4 linked regions of the Danio rerio genome follow. The protein of the gene in region 3 interacts with the protein of the main gene of each other region in a pairwise test. Links are inferred from orthologs where the notes say so. Each region holds a gene or a part of one and is shown on either strand. Other genes may lie near its edges.

Region 1 (4,541 bases), on a different chromosome or scaffold from region 3:
AAGGTTAAATTTGGGGCGACACATGGTTAGCACTGTTGCCTCACAGCAAGAAGGTCGCTGGTTCAAGTTCCAGCTGGGTCAGTTGGCATTTCTGTGTGGAGTTTGCATGTTCTCCCCGTGTTGGTGATGGAGTTTCCTCCAGGTGCTCCGGTTTCCCCCACAAGTCCAAACACATGCACTATAGGCAAATTGAATAAGATAAATTGGCTGTAGTATATGTGTGTGCATAGGAGAGTGTATGAGTGTGTGTTGCGGTTGGAAGGGCATCAGCTGTGTAAAACATATGCTGGATAAGTTGGCAGTTCCTTCCGCTGGGGCGACCTCTGATAAATTTAGGGATGAAGCCGAAGGAATATGAATGAATGGTCACTGTAATTAAACTACTTTTACACTGAAAATTGTACAAAAGTAAGGGATTACTGTTCATTTTTAGGTTAATTAATTATAGGTATTTGTATTGTACTTTCATTGTAGAAATCAATTGAGAAAAACAAAGAAATATTTTTTTTTCTCAGTAATGCAACTATAGTTAACTGTATAACTCTGTTTTTCAACTAAAGATAGTTACACATGTCAATCATGCTTAAAAAAATTATTAATTAAAAAATTAGTTTTGACACATTTAACCTTTGACCTTCAAACTTTTTGTTTGTAAACTAAAATTCACGTTAGTTATTGACCTGCTTTACTTTTAATTTTGTAAAAGTTTGACTCTGATTCAATTTTCTATTGTCTACTCATTAAGATTTATAGGAATTTTATGTAGTATTAAGTCAGTTACTTTAGTAGTGATCAAATAATTTTTCAGATATAGTAATAGAAAAGTTATTTAAATACAATGGAGTTTTAATTATTAATAATTAGTAGGCAAATTAAATATTTTTTGAAGAAACTTAGCCAAAACTGCTACTACTTAAATGAAAGAAAATCCCTAATTTTCATAAAAATTCTGAGCGGCATCTATCTTTTTTAACGTCTTTGATAGTAAGAAATGTTTCTTGAGCAGTGAAACAGCATTACAATGATTTCTGATAGATCGCATGACACTGAAGACTAGCCGCAAATTCAGCATTGCATCACAGGAATAAATTCATTCATTCATTCATTTTCCTTTGGCTTAGTCCCTTGATTTATCAGGGGACATCAAAGCGGAATAAAGTGCCAACTTAACCAGCATTTGTTAAACACAGCGGATAATCTTCCAGCTGCAACCCAGTCCTGGGAAACATCCATACACACTCATTCACACACATACACTATAGCCAATTTAGTTTGCAAACTCCACACAGAAATGCCAACTGACCCAGCTGGGCCTCGAACCAGCAACCTTCTTGCTTTGAGGTGACAGTGCTAACCACTGAGCCATTGTGTTGCTCTCAGGAATAAATGATAATGCGAAATATATTCAAATATAAAACATTTAAAATATGATAACATTTCACTTATTATTGTGCTTATATATTATGTACATAAACTCACAGATTGGCCCGCTCAGTGTTGTCCACAGCAGTCGCTCCTTTAAGGTCGAGTTTCTTGCGATACATTAGTTCGAGTTCAGCCATTGTTTGGAGGTGAGCTGTTTTCAGCTGTTCTAGTTTACGGTAGTACTCCTGGTTTGAGAAGTAAAACTCCCTGAGGTCGATGCGATCGCCCGTCACACGGTAGTCTTTGATAAGCAGAGCATTGTTGTCTTTGGCAGGAGGGTCATCAGCCACCAAATCAGATCCAGAGTCATACTCCATCTGTTAAAATGTATGTAAAATGTAAAATTAAAATGTATTGTAAAATGCACACTATGATAACAGGCGGATTTGTTAGCATACATCCAAACAGGTTAAAATGCCAATGGATAACTATAGGTTTTATATTATTAAAGAGACAGTACGACCAAATATGTGCTTACTGTTGACTTGTTTCAAACCAGTTTGACTTTCTTCTGTTGAACACAAAAGAAGATAATTTGAAAAATGCTGAAAACATGTAACCATTGACTTCCTTAGTAGGAAAAACAAATATTATAGACGTCAATGATTACTGGTTTCCAACATCCTTCGAAATGTCTTCTTTCGTGGTCATGAAAACAAACTCAAATTGGTTTGGAAAAGAAGGCTGAATTTTCATTTTTGGGTGAAGTATCCCTTTAAAACCTTTTCATATATTTATTAAATACGCAACCTAATCTGTGTAATTCTTTAGGAAGCCTTGACTGAGAAAACAGTGGTGTTACAGACGTGTTTATATATACAAAGAAACCAAGGACTGTTGGCTGAAGCCTTGTGTTTTCATACGTCACACTCTTCTATAGTGAAATTTAAGTCTGAACAACATTTGTGCGGTCAGTAGTTGTATGTGTGCAACATGAGAAGACTGTGTGTGTGTAATCTGTTAATCTGCAGGTCTGTGTCAGCTTTAGGACCAGATGGCAGATTGTGTTCTCCATTCATACAGGAGATTGTCTGTTTAATCAGCATCCTGGTCATGTTATCAACACTATATTACTCTACATCTTACATCATGCTAACAAATAAGGTTGTGTATTGCAGAAAAAGATAAATAAAATAGTAACGTTACGTATGTAACATATTAACCTTTGAGGTTTATTTAGTTATATTTAGCTATACCCATGTAAACACTCATAACCACAGTGAAGCCTATTGATTTGTCCTTATTACTTTTAAACGAGCAAAACATGATTTTTGAACCATTTTCATGGAGTTACACAAGTTAAAACTAAAGTTAATGTTTCCACTTAATCCATTAAAGAGATGTTTAACCAGTCTATCATGTTAACTTCACGGACACAACTCCTCGCAACATTGTCTCCTCAAAATAGTTTCAATCCCAAAAAAGAAAAGACATTTCCATTGATGTAATGACTTTTTACACGTTAAACATCACCATCATCCTTTAAAATAACTTTAGAACTGTATTTATTGCGGTTTAATAGCTTTTAGTCACCTCTTTTTCATAGTGCCTGTTGTCCGTCATCGCGGCCGCGCGCGGCAGTGTCCGCTCCCGCTCGTACTGAGCTAACGGCACTTTGGTTTGCGGGTCCACCGGGGTCTTCAGACAGGATGTCACCAAGACATTTGTACGGTGCGATTTCTTCATATCTGCTTCTCTTTCCAAAGCGGTAGATTTGATATAAACGAATGACTGACTGACTTCCTCCCTGAACCGTAGCGGGAGCGCGTCTCCTTGACGACCGCGTAGCGTCGGGGGCGCTAATCTGCGGGAGCGCGCATTTGAAAGAACTAGTAAGGATGTAAACATTTCTCTCCGTTTTAACCCTACTGTTGTCTTGGAATTCTGTATACACCATTCGTCCTTCGGTGAAAAACTACTAAACCTCTAAAATAAATCAGATAAATTACATTTCAATCCTTAAATAAATTTTAAACGAAGAAACTACCTCATTTTCATCACAAACTCTGTGAATGTCTAGTTTTCCCCTCATTAGTGTTTCATCAATGTTTAGTCAGTGGGCAACACTCGTTTCTGACTGAAGGGTATATTTACCAATGCTAAAAGACACCTGGATAAGTGTACAAAGGTTTATATAAAGCAACAGTTTCTCATTGTTTGTTAAAGTGTGAATGCGTGTGTGCCAGTAGACTTTGTGGTGTAAAAATGGCCTTATATCTGGCTAGTTAAAATTGACCCAAAGGACCACTGTTGTACCATTTGTACGTAAGGTTGGGCTAAATTTAGAAGTCACCAAACTTCAAGACAAAAAAATTAATTAAAAAATAAATAAAAACATTGTAGGCTATAGTTTTTTTGGCTGTTAAAATGGCACCCTAATTTTTCCACGACTAGTAATCTTAAGTATTAGTTTCCAGGTGCTTTTTGAACAATAAACACATACTTAAAGCATATATTTAAATACATAAATATTTTTAAAATGTTTTCAGCTAGCTGTAAATGGTACTACTTTGGACTATTCCACTTGCCATACTCTTAAAAAATGATGACTAAAGATATTTTAATAAAATAAAACTGTTTACCACACCCTTAAAATGAGCCATGTCCTAAAATACCAGCATTCAATTTTGTTGCTACAAGATTTCCTGTAATTAATAAAAATTATACACTCATTAAAATTACATTTACCAAAATGTATAAACCCAACCATTAATATTATGCGTATCCTCATACCAAAATAAGCTTCTTTTTTAATTCAAAAGTTCAGAAAAATGTACTTACATAAATTTAAAAGCAGACCAAATACTGGTTAAAATCACGTTACAGGGAAATACCAAGTTTAGCAAATTAGGTTAAAACACTCTAGCGCATTTCTAAAATAAAAACAAAGGTTGTTTATTAGAAGAGTGAATGTCCAGCTCTTGATTTCAGACTTTCTCAGGCCCTGGAGCAATGCTCTATTCTGATCAGATAAGGTGATTAGCTAATAAGATTAAGCTGACATGCAGAGATGCACCGACCACAGTAAACCCTCAATAAACCTAACAGAAACAAAAACATGTGCACAAATAACACCAAAGACAAGACATACAGTGTCAAAAAAAACATGTTTAATT
Region 2 (4,110 bases), on a different chromosome or scaffold from region 3:
AAAACCCATTTGAGTTTCTTTCTTCTGTTGAACACAAATGTAGATAGAGAAATACTGATAGTTGGCAACCAATGATGTCCATAAATGACTATGGAAGTCAGTTATTGCCAGCTACCTAAATATCTACTTTGGTGACTAACAGAACTCAAAAGGTTTAAAACCACATGAGCAAATGATTGTTTAATACAATGCCAGATCGTATGGCTATTTTCACAGCGAGAAAAAGGTATTCTGGAGACATAAATTATAATAAGGCTTTTCAATTTATATTTGCTAAACTCTCCAACTTTTAGATTATCAGTGTAAAAAAACTGCTTTAAAAAAATGAACTGAATAAAAAAAAAAACAAGAAAAAAACAATTCTCACAAAATTAAATCCAACAATTAAAAAAAAATTTAAAGTGCTTTCACAAATAGAACCGTGTGGGAGGATCTTCTCCAGGTATTAAGAACTTGTCATTCTGGAGTGACTGATTCTACAATGGATAAAAACAATGTGGTCCCAATGGTTAGAAAATTTATAGAAGTTTCTTTCACCAGCAATAAGCCAATTTCGAGAAGTTTTTTTTTTTTTTTGCATGCAGATCTCATTCTCTGTCAATGAACGTATGAACAAAGTTTGTTTTGGATTCAAAAAAAAGTTACTGGACAAATTCTCATTTTTAGGTGAATATCCCTTTAAGAATCCACTGTCTCACTATGAGGACATGTATCATCTCCAGAACTGATCAGACAGTCACTGTGCAAGCATTTCACAGTTTCATGCGATAAACACTATCGTTACAATCACACACAGTTAAAATGCCTTTAGTCAAACTTAAAATTTGGTTGAGCTTTATTTAAAAAAAAAAAAAAACTTATTTCAAATAATTAAATTTGAAAAATAAATAATTAACATTAATATTGTGAATTAGAAAGTCCCATTACTACTATGGATGTACATTTACAATTAAGTCAACAATAAATCGGTTGCAACAATCTCAGGATACAAAAAATAAAAATTTATAATTATTTTACTAAACATTGTTTCGCCCTTACATTTGATTATCCAATTACTGCCAATAAATTTATTAAATTCTAGAAGACAACTTAAAAATAAAAAAAACTAAATTTGCACATGATTTGATTTAAATTAAGACAATCTAAAAAAGTAAAAATAAATCAGAACTTGATTAAAACTGATTATTTTAATAGATTTAATGTTACAAATTAAAATTACATTTAAATATTAGGACTGCATTGATGAAAAAGTAACTAGGCTCTACACATGGTATAAGTGTTAAGACTCTTTAAGATCAAGACTGCCCTCTTCAAATAATAGTAATTCATATCTAAAATTTCCAGTGTCTTTATTTTGCCTCTTGCCTGTATAGGTGATGGTTTCTCCCAGCCCATTTCAAAGATGCCCATAAGCAGCTCTCGTTTTAGGCAATAATCTTCAAACTCATTTCCCTTGGTCGCCGTCACATCCTGCAAAATTCACAATCATTGAGTGTTCTAGAAATGTTAAAGAAATCAAAAAAGCATTGTGGTTCACAGCCTTTATAAAATTAAATAAAAAACACAAAATTACAGAGGGACTTACTGATGTTTTCATTCGCAAATCTTTTGGAGGAAGCTTTAGATTCTTCTTCCAGTCATCTCCAGGCCTGATACATGGGAAGGGAAAGAAAAAGTTAAATACCAAATCATCTCTAAGAAAGCAGCACACAGCGGCATTTGCAAGGACTTACTTGATGATAGTGTTGGCTGTGGGTACAGGCTGGGAGTTGCCATTGTTGACTGTGCTAGAGGCTTTGACCTGGGCAGGCTGTGTTGTTTGGGACCCCCCTCCACCTCCACCGGGACCCCCTGCTGGCTTCACAGAACCTCGCATTTGGCCGTTCTGATTGGACAGTCCCAGAATCACTGGGTTCTCCATTCTGGCTGTACTCATGACTTAAATATTCTCTCTTGAAACAGTGAGCGACAAACAACAGTGGAGATAATACTTTCTCTTGATGGTCTTGCAAAAAAATTAATTTGCAAGTCGTCCTTCCCACAGCTTTCTCAGTGTCCAAAGCGCACAAAAGCAAAAAAAAAAAAAAAAAAAAAGTTCAAGCAAAATTTTTTTACCAGTTCCTTGTTCCTCAATATAAAAGTCTCTTGTGGAACATCTCAATATGAATGTCACTCAAGCAACAGGTCACAGATGCTATAAGCAGGAAGATTAGCTTCAATTATCCTTCCATTAATGAGTGAATTTCTCCTCTGCAAAAGGAAAGTTTCACAGACAAGGGGCCAGGAAGCCAGTGTTAGTCTTTTCAATTGTTCTGTCCATTCCCTTCTCTCAAATTAGTTAACATGGGCGATTTCAAATGTTTTCCACCTGTGTGAGAGAGAGAAGCATTATAAACGTGAAACGTTAGACCAAACCACTACAAGATTTCAGTCAATAAAAACACTGGTTACTGGTTCCAATTTTTTTTTCAGTTAGAGGATTTTCCAAAAAAAAAAAAAAAAAAAAACTGGCATCATGCCACATCTTACAGTAGCAAAGAGAGCTTAAATAAAATAAAAAAGCATGCAAATACAAAAAAATGCCAGCAAATTCAGAAAAGATCACAAAAAAATTGTGCTTTTTGATAGTGCGGTGAGAAATTGCAGTGATGAAATTCATTTTTCATTTTCATAAGTTTGCATTATAAGAAAATGCAGTGCGTTTTATTCATTTGTTTGCATTGTGAGAAAATTAAGTGAATTTTTTAAAAAATTTGCGTTGTGAGGATTTGCATAACGTGCTGTAAAATGGATGAATAGGGCTAGGCAATTAATCGAAATCAACATTCACTAATAATCGATCTAATTTTTCCAGGACAATTTTCACAAGTACTTTCCCTACGTGTCAGGTGACCCTGCTTTGTTAAAGGCTGTGGCTAATTTCTACTTCTGTAGCCAAATATGACCTTTGGTCAAGTAGGACGATGGACTCATTCTTGAGCCTTACTTTGCACTACATTGACGAGGATTGGAAGCTGTGCCAGAAATGCCTTTAGACAGCACATAAAACTTTGAGGGCAAATAAATAAAATATTTGTTGAATTTTCTAAATGGTTAGTTTTAGATTTTGATTTTAGGCCAAATGGACCAGCCCTACAGATGAAGATCTTTTCTTATTTTGCTGGTGTTGTTTTGTGTTTTTATCTTATATATATATATATATATATATATATATATATATATATATATATATATATATATATATATATATATATATATATATATATATATATATATATATATATATATATATATATATATGTATAAATAAATATACACACACACACACAAGTTTTAAGATTTCATAGTGGCTAATATTATGACACCATATGCAAATTGGTAAACAGAGATTTTAAAAATAAATCGCTTTGTACAAGATCTGAGATAATTCCCAAATCACTACAAATTCAAAAATTTTGATCCATCAAGTTTGTACATGTTAACATTTTGTAGCAAAATCTCAATATGCAAAACTTGCTTAATGCCATCCGGACATTAACTTAAAAATATTTCTTCATCTGAACCATTTATGAAACTTAAGGAGAAGAGAAGGATGAACAATGAGTATATAAAAATTGCTTTATTGGTGTCTATGTAAACGTGATTAAGACAATATTCTGATTAAGAGTCCATGCAAATAGCGATAAATTAATCTGATTAAGGTCATTATCAAATTAAACAAATAAGATTAAGACATGGAGTATGCCAATTTTAGTCACATTACTAAACTGCAGTAGACATGTAAACACCTTGAATGAAACTATTACCATCATGTGGGATTTGCTGCATTTTGTGACTGGACATTTCATACACACAGCTGTTTGACACTATTCTCTGTACCTACCGAGTCAGTGAGGAATCACAGACACCTGCATCATGAAATGTGGAGTTTATGTTTCCAATACTGCGTGCGTTATCAAATTCCAATAAAACGACCCTCTTACAGCATTAAATACTCATCCAATATTTCATTTGTCAGGGGAGGCATGCATGAAATGTTCCTGAGTGAAAGTGCCAAACTGCAGTTAAAGTCGACAAATTTAAAACACCGGAAATTACATGATATCCCAG
Region 3 (3,621 bases):
AGTCATTACATACAAAAATGGTGAACTAGTTGTCAAAATCTGTCAAACAAATTTTATAAAACAAATTTAAATCTTTATTTTCCTGAAAATGTCATTAAAATTTAACAATTTGATGAATGATTTACAGACCTGTGTATGTTGTAGGCTCAGTTCCAATATGTACTGCAATATTGTTCACAGTTGTGAACAGCTCTACCTAAAGGGAGTTTATGTTTGTTGTAAATAAGGGTGTGTTTATTCTTTTGCACAATGCTGTGAGTAAATTAGGATTGCAAAGAGCAAATGCAGTAAAATTGTGAAACATACATATTCAGTGTCTTGTACTTAGATACCTCACTCAGTGCAGTGATGTCTAACTTTACTGTAGTGTTCAAATGGCTGTGCTAATAGTATATATAGTGCTGTCTTAAGCATTTTCATGACGTGTCACCAAAATCTAACTTTTTTTGCATTGAAAAAATGTACAGAGTAAACTGTCATAATGAAGACATGACATTTGACTAATGAAAAGCCATTTGACTATCTTGTTCATAAACAATGGTGTCAGGACTTTTCATTTTGACAGCTAGGTTTCGCAGTTTGCACTAATTGTTTTGAAAAATGCATTAACTGTTGTGCAAATGTAAGTGTAGTGAGAAATGCACCAAAGCGACTGAGAAAAACTGTAATATGCTGCATTTTTTTTTCAAAAGATGTATTTTTTTTATTATTTTAAATTAAATACAACAATAATGCATCCATAAAGAACTTTTCAGTGAAAAACAAAAGACAGGTCAATGTTTACTTTCTGATTGGTTAAATATGTGATTATATGCAGATCATACACAAATTAAAATAAAAAAAACAATAAATAAAATATTTAGTGAAGTTGCAAGTACATTTACAAATTAAACAGCTAGAAACCAAATTGCATTGGAGAAAAACTAATCAAATGCACCTAATGAAAAATACCATAATCAGCTTAAAACAAGATACTGAATGATTCTTAATAATATCAAAAAGAAAGAAAGTACTCCAAGTGGAAACAAAAATTAACCCACACTTCTGTTTAAGAAAAAGGTCACCCAAAAATAAAAATTCTTTCAACTGCCTCTCATGTACTTTACCTCAATTTGTTCCAAACCTGTTTCTTTTTTTGAAAACTGGTAGCCATTGACTTCCATAGTATATAATTAACTTTAAAAGTCAATGTTTACTGGTTTCCAGTGTGCCTTAAAATTTATGTTCCTTAATTATTAAATTGTTGTCTCACAGCAAGAATGTTGCTGGTTCGCCAGCTGGGCCAGCAGGCATTTCTGTTTTCATGTTATCCCTGGGTTCGTGTAATTATCTTCTGGACACTCCGGTTACCCCACACAGCCCAAAGACATGCGGTAGAGGTAAATGGAATAAACTAAAATGGTCGTAGTTTACAATGTGTTAGAATGCGTGTGTATGGGTCTTTCCCTGTAAATCATATGCTGGAATAATTGGTAGTTTATTTTGCTGTGGTGACCTCTGAAGAAGAGACTAAGCCAAAAAAAAAAAAAAAAGAATGAATGTTTGAACTATCCCTTTAAATATGTCAATAGATTTTCTGAAAGCTGTTTATTTATTTTATTTTTTGTAAAGTTTTTCTTCCTTAAGTGTTGCATTCAAAAGTTTGGTTTGTGTTTCTTGACTTCCACCATCAGATGATGAAGGTTTATGAGCTCAGAGCGCACTGCCAGACTGCGGAATGTTGGCTGGGAGAGGACCTTATGGAAACCATGATAGTACTGGATGAGCTGGGTCAGCGCTCCCTAGTGAACACAACCATAATGATTTCAAATTTGTTACAGCACATTGTAAATAGATAAAGAAAACCATTAGGACAAAAATTGTCCCAAAACTTTAAGTTGCCATTATGTTGTACCTGAATTATGCTGGTTCCGTTTTTAAAGTTGGTGAAGGAGCGCATAACATCCTGACTCAGGGCCTCCACAGACTGCTTCCATGTGCCGGAGAATCCCCGCACCAACTGAGTAATACGAGCTGACAAATAGACACAGGAAGATAAAGCGTATAACACACACACACACACACACACACACACACACACACACACACACACACACACACACACACACACACACACACACACACACACACACACACACACACACACACACACACACATATATATATATTACAGAAATAGTACTACGAGAAACTTTTGGTTTTAACAAATAGAACAAATAGAAGCTGCAATTTTATTAAGAAAAATATAAATAAATAAATAATCCATTGAATAAAAATAAATCATAAAATATGCAATACTGTGAGAAATGATCTTTGCTACAGTTGCTAATAATGCTAAATGTAAAAATCTAATATTATAATTTAAACAACACATTGTATTTATTTTTTTGTCTCATTTTCAATGTATGATCGAGTAATTCACTCATAAAACGTCAAGTTTCATTACTATGTGTATAATTTCTGAAGAATTATTTAGTGGCAAATTTTGATGGCTGAATCTACCTGCTGGTGAAATAATGCAATTGGTGCTACAACTTTTATTTTTGAACGTCAAGTTAAAAGCACTGTCATTTAAACAGTGTTTAATTTAATAATTTAATCCTTACCGTAAACACCAGTGTTTATATGTAAACTAGAAACTATTATCCCAGTATTTACTGTTCAACACTATCATTTATAATTTATGTTGGGTGTTATATTAAATTGTTAAATTGTGTTATATCTCAATAATCACATTAATCACATTTTGAGGTGACATGGGTGTCACACATCTGTGAAGGTTTCACAGCTAGAAGTACAGTGTCCTTTGGTGATTTGTATCACTATTCACTCGCCATACACATTAGCCAAATGAACCAAACTCTGATGTCAAATAAACCCAGATGAGCACCAACCACAAGAGCTAGTGTGAAAGTACACTAAAAGATGAACATAGAGCTGGGCAATATGGCAAAAAAAATTATCACGATTATTTTTTTTGTATCAGTCGATGTCGATATTTATCACGATAAACGTAAAATCTTTATATCTATCCATTTTACAAGATTTTCAGTATGCCAAATGCTCTGTGCAGCTGATTTAACACATTAAGTTAAATGTTTTAGCTGTCTGACAATATAAATAATACAATAATAAACAAAAGAACAATCTTAATTCAGCATTTACAGTTCAAGTTTTCAACAACCAAAGACATTACCTACAAGTTATTGGATATTATTGTTTAACATCAGAAAAAAATAAAAATAAAACCGGTTTGGAACAACCCGGTTTGGAAGTAAAGGTGAGTTAATGGTCACAGAATTTTCAGTTTTCACATTTTAGTACAGTCAGGATACCCGAGTAAACAACAACAATTAAATAAATACCTCCAATATAGACCAATCAGAAAAAACTATTATCTTTAGTGCAGCCATCTTAACTAAGTAAACTAAAGTTAAATAAATAACTGCAGTGTAGACTAGTGAAAGATAAACAGGCTTGTCCTGTCTAAGGACATTTGGAATATTTAAATAAGTTTTAAGTTCTTCTTCAAGAACAGCACAATGTCCACATTCTCAGATGAGAGGCTTGATCTCTGTGCATACATACAGACATAGTGATGCTCATTTTTGATTAAGTTTT
Region 4 (4,884 bases), on a different chromosome or scaffold from region 3:
AAAACAGACAAAAATACAGTTTTAATGCTTTATTTGTGATATATTTAGATATTTGTATTAATTATTAAGCAAATTATATATATATTTTTTTTAAAATGTTGATTATTTACTTAATGAATACTATCTAATAGTGTTTAAGGATTTGTGAAGGTTTTGACGACTGACCTGGCCATGGTGCTACAATAACATGACCAATCAGAGGATAATAAACACTAGGGAGAAGACCGAGCAACCAATCAGAGCACGAATACTCGGCAGAGAACGCTGAGCAACCAATAAGAGCGGCTTTACTTTCCTTCTGCACCATAGCGAGACAGTCCAAGACAGCCGTGTAGCACAATCATTCAAATCAACAACTGTGACAAAAAAATACGATTTACTACGGCAAACAGTCTCCTTCAACAAGATTCGTCGTGCAGATCACCTTGTTTTGTTCTTCATTCATGTAACTTAACCATACAGGACATACAACTTTCTACTGTAACCCATAAACAAGCTGCAGATAACAGCTAAAAGGTAGAATGTAACGTTACTTAGTATTGTGAGAAAAGAGCCATAAAGATAGGATATATGAGATTAAGTTTACCTATAGGAGTCCTTGCGGCAGAAACGATAACAATCGCATCCGTGTTCATCTTTGCTGTCCGGTAGGTTGGTTATGTGCTTGGTAGGCTGACTCTGTCTGAATGCAGGTTGTACTGCGGAACGTCCTACTTCTCGGTGTCCCATTCATTTGATAAACGAATACGAAAGCTTTGTCGTCATCAGGACACAAAAGTAGGATGCATTGGTTTTATTTTGAGGTAGCGCCATCTAACGGTGTGGACGGCTAACTAAAACCTAAACCCCAATCTTCTCTACAAATCAGTTGTTTATTAAAATGTCACTTTACAGCAGAACATCAAACTTTTATTTAATTCATTAACTTGATGTTGTTAGACAATCATTTTGACAATTCAAGGCAGAAAAACAAAGCAAGAACAGAGTCATATTAAAACTCTTTATTGATATTTGGTCAGTACATGAAAAGGATCGAAATCAGAATTTAACAAGATACGTCTTGAAAAACTACACACAAGTCAAACAAAAACGTTTTCTCTCGTCATGTAGAGGAACAAAAAAAGTTCAACATCAGGAAACTAAGGACTCTGAACTTGCAGTTTCAAGACTTGAGCATTGATACATCACACATAGCTAAATCATTCAGAGTTCTAGCAAGTGAGCAAATGAACAGTACAGAACCGAGTGTTTATATCACTTCGACAGAGGAAAATGGTTTAAAACTCTCATTAAAAAAAATCAAATATACAAACGCAGTGTTGCTCATTTTATAAACGTAATCAGTTTCGAGCATGTAGCAAATGTACTGAAATAGGTTATGATGGGAAGGAGGGTACAAAACAAAAGTGATGCTTTTGACCACTTCTTGAACAAGAACTAACTGGCCTGAAGTGTGACGGGTTGTTTTGTTTATTTGTTGTGAGTTACTTAAAAAAAAAAAAAATGAACAGAAACTAGAAGAATGTTACAAAACAGACCCTGCAGAGGCATTGGAGGTGTTGGTGGCAACTGCTGCTGCAGATGAGTCCAGGCCATTCTGAGTGCTGTGCCGCGTACCTGCAGTCCTGCTGCCTTTGGGGACAGCAGCGGCCTCGTGGGAGTCAGCATTGGAGTCTGTATCGTTCGAGTGCTGGGTCACTGACGTCTCACTGCCTGTAGGCGAGTCCACGCTCTCATAGCCTGCACTTAGCTGAGTCACGTACCCTTCTCCACCCCTCTGGCTCACTGCATCTTCTGAGTGGTTGGAGAGTTTTGATATGCCATCATGGGTGGGGCTGGAGACAGAGGGTGATGGAGGGTAATCTTCATCTGCACTGCTTGCTTCCCTGTACAAACTAGAGCCAGATGCACCCCTCTGAGATGAGTTCCCATTGGAGGGTCCATTGGACACCCTTCCGCAGTCTTTCCCCACATTTGAACTGGAGGCGTTGGCTGGTTCACTCTGAGTGGAAGGTTCGGAGGCTGTTGAAGGGGAAGTTCTGCTTGGGCCAGCTCCACTAGAAGTGCCTTGGGTTTGGTTCATCTGAGACAGCTGCTGCCTGGTCTCCCTCAGCTGCTGCTGCAGAACCAGGATGGTGCTCTGCATGCCCTCCACCTCCTCATCCAGCTGAATGATGAAGTCATTCAGCTCTGGACCACAAAAATACATGGGTAAAAAAAGAGAACACACAAAGATGAGTGGAGATCTGCTCAAAACAATCCAGAATGGAGTTGACCAAAGAAAGACTTTCGCTCACCATCTTGGCTGCTTTTGAGCTCTTCGCTGTACTTCTTCTGCAAGGCAAGCTCGGCCTCCAACTGGGCTATGCGCCCTTGGGAAAGCTGCCTACCCAACTCCTGATTCTCCTGGATCAGCATGCGACATTTCGCCATCAGCTTCTTACCAGTCTGGCTGCAAGGGAAACAAGTCTAACATCACATCGTGAACATGGCCACAGGGTCAACACAAGTGACCATTGCATTTACAAACTAGAAGGTAACAACCAGAAATAGCTTCCAACTCTCCAATGGCCACACTGGTCTTCGGACTGGTAAATATAGTTGACCATTAGAGTATGTTTACAAGCACTAATGAAAACAGCTTGGTATTCTTAAGAAAGTCAACATGATTTAACATTGGCAGAATGCTAGCAGAGATTGTGTCTTATGTAGTCATGTAAATGCATAGGCAGCTTTTTGAAGAGTGCATGGAAAAAGATCAGGCAGCCAAATAAATGCTAATCGTGCCACAGGTATATGCTGCTTTGACAAAACATGTCAGCACAATGATACTTTCACAAATCTTTCGCAATAAGCAGTTTCCTGGTGTGCATGTAAACATACTCAACAACAATCAAGAAAATCAAGTAACAGTTTAAACAATACTGGGAAAAGATGCATGAACATTTGGCAGACCAAATCAAGTAAACCAACAAGTGCAATACATCTGAACGCATCTAACAGGATAGTACTCCAGGTAATTGACCATGGTACAAAACCAATTAGCAATTTCCATTTCAGTGACTATTAGTACCTACCTGTTAATCTAAAAGTAGCTACGAGCTACCAACAATATCTGCATCAGTTGATTAAAAAAATGACTGGTTCTATACTACATGACAAAGAGTCTTGACAGTAGGCAGATCAATTTCTTATCACTGCAAAATATTACAAAGATGCAATAAAGTTGCATGGCCAGAGCGCTTCATTTAAATTAGCAGCACCTTTAACCTATTTCCAGTAAAAAACTTGGCAAAGATTATACTGATATGTTGATGTTTTCTTTAGTATTAGAATATACTTGAGTGCTTTTCTGCCAGATACAGCAGTAACACTACTGTCCTTAAACAATAAGACTTAAACTCTCTTCAGAACGAATGCTCACATTTTACATTTAAGAGCAGTTTGAGATCAAATGTAACAACAATCAAATACAAACAATTTCCTTAAACCAATTCAGCAACTTTTATGGGAATCCTACAACTAACTTCCAATGACAACCGCTTAATTCTTTATGCCACTTTAGAGCAGTCAATATTTCAAAAGACTTTTGACTAAATATTTTCAACTACTTTTGATTCACTCAGATAGGAAATCCAACAAAGTTGAAGTGTAAGATTTTGCTAGAACATTTCTAATGAGCAAAATACCTGCAAAAAATTTGTGACCTGAGAGAAAAAAAAAAAGAAAATTAAACTTTCACTGGATGACCGAAAAATAAAAAGTGGATTAGAAAGGTACACAAGTTAAAATACAAATGATCATACACAGACATTTGAACATTGAATAGCTGTACTATTCACACATATTACTATCACACATGGCACATTTGCATTCACATCGAAAAGAACAATTATATTCGCATCCACAGCAGTGCAACAGCCAATTTTAAATAAATTCAATTCGTTTGGACCACTCTACTGTGAATGCAAGGAGTGTTTCCAGAGCAAAAACAAAGTATAATATTACGAACACAAAAAAAGATAAAAGGTTTAAGACACTGTACCGTATGTCGCACCTGTGAGATGAACATATATGAAAGTCTTTGCAGATCAGAATGTCTGATTCCTCCCCCAAAGTCTTACATCATAAAGGCTTTCTCCCCCAAAGTCTTAAGATTGCTTAACTCCACCCCCATTTCATTGCATCACACTACATTCCCGCCTCCCTGTTTTACATTCTAGATTCTTAACCAGAGTCTCAAAGCATCTATGATGGAGTTTATATGGGGGCATTTTCCTCTGCAACACATTTAGTTGGGCCATGTCATGTTTTAAATGTTCAATCAGTGACCTGCAAACTACAGTTCAACCAGCTCCAGAGCCAACGCTTTGCTCAAGTCTTTCATAGGCCGCCTTATTTGTTACAGGAAGCTTTCTAACACGGGCTGAGTTTCCGACGTGACCACCTCTTCAGGAACAGTCCCGATTCCTTCAGGCTTCTGTACCATGAGGGGTGTGGGGGGGAGAGAAAGAGCTGAAACAAAAGTGTCACCTGACCAAACTGCCGTGTTCTGTTCTGATTTTACATTACGGTATGTGTAATAGCAGGGCAATACAAAAGAAAAATGTCTTTTGTTCTGAGCTTTTTTGCTTTAAAGTCTGAGTCTCGTTGTGAGCAACACATTTCAGTCTTCCCCCACCATTATCTGCACTCCTGCAGAGGAGAAGGTGGGGGTGAATCAGGAAAGTCTTGACTTTTTGTTTGGAGGGGGGAGTTATTTTAGTTTACCTATCAGGTGTAAATTTCCAGGCACTCAGTTCATTTTGGGCTTGCTCCAGTTTGTCTTTAGTCTGTTCCAGTTCAGCCTTCATTTTGAGGAAAAATAAGTTGATGGCTGGGTCC

What was found.
Region 1: the proteins of vps52 (region 3) and fam161a interact in binary tests that used the Homo sapiens proteins (3 or more experiments, as listed by UniProt). The link is inferred for Danio rerio from reciprocal best matches to the Homo sapiens genes VPS52 and FAM161A.
Region 2: the proteins of vps52 (region 3) and ddx6 interact in binary tests that used the Homo sapiens proteins (3 or more experiments, as listed by UniProt). The two-hybrid records come from large-scale screens. The link is inferred for Danio rerio from reciprocal best matches to the Homo sapiens genes VPS52 and DDX6.
Region 4: the proteins of vps52 (region 3) and wtap interact in binary tests that used the Homo sapiens proteins (3 or more experiments, as listed by UniProt). The two-hybrid records come from large-scale screens. The link is inferred for Danio rerio from reciprocal best matches to the Homo sapiens genes VPS52 and WTAP.

What each region holds. Positions count from the first base shown.
Region 1 is NC_133176.1:57,142,724-57,147,264, forward strand, and holds the start of fam161a (protein FAM161A), read right to left. Parts: upstream 3,204-4,541; 5' UTR 3,112-3,203; coding exon 2,959-3,111; intron 1,743-2,958; coding exon 1,480-1,742; intron 1-1,479. UniProt on the Homo sapiens protein: Involved in ciliogenesis.
Region 2 is NC_133193.1:46,835,490-46,839,599, forward strand, and holds part of ddx6 (probable ATP-dependent RNA helicase DDX6), read right to left. Parts: intron 2,369-4,110; 5' UTR 1,937-2,368; coding exon 1,734-1,936; intron 1,650-1,733; coding exon 1,586-1,649; intron 1,471-1,585; coding exon 1,366-1,470; intron 1-1,365.
Region 3 is NC_133194.1:20,899,144-20,902,764, reverse strand, and holds the end of vps52 (vacuolar protein sorting-associated protein 52 homolog), read right to left. Parts: intron 2,014-3,621; coding exon 1,895-2,013; intron 1,782-1,894; coding exon 1,635-1,781; 3' UTR 768-1,634; downstream 1-767. UniProt on the Homo sapiens protein: Acts as a component of the GARP complex that is involved in retrograde transport from early and late endosomes to the trans-Golgi network (TGN).
Region 4 is NC_133195.1:33,717,032-33,721,915, forward strand, and holds the end of wtap (pre-mRNA-splicing regulator WTAP), read right to left. Parts: coding exon 4,771-4,884; exon of another isoform or gene 4,046-4,770; intron 2,453-4,045; coding exon 2,298-2,452; intron 2,191-2,297; coding exon 1,526-2,190; 3' UTR 987-1,525; downstream 1-986. UniProt on the Homo sapiens protein: Associated component of the WMM complex, a complex that mediates N6-methyladenosine (m6A) methylation of RNAs, a modification that plays a role in the efficiency of mRNA splicing and RNA processing.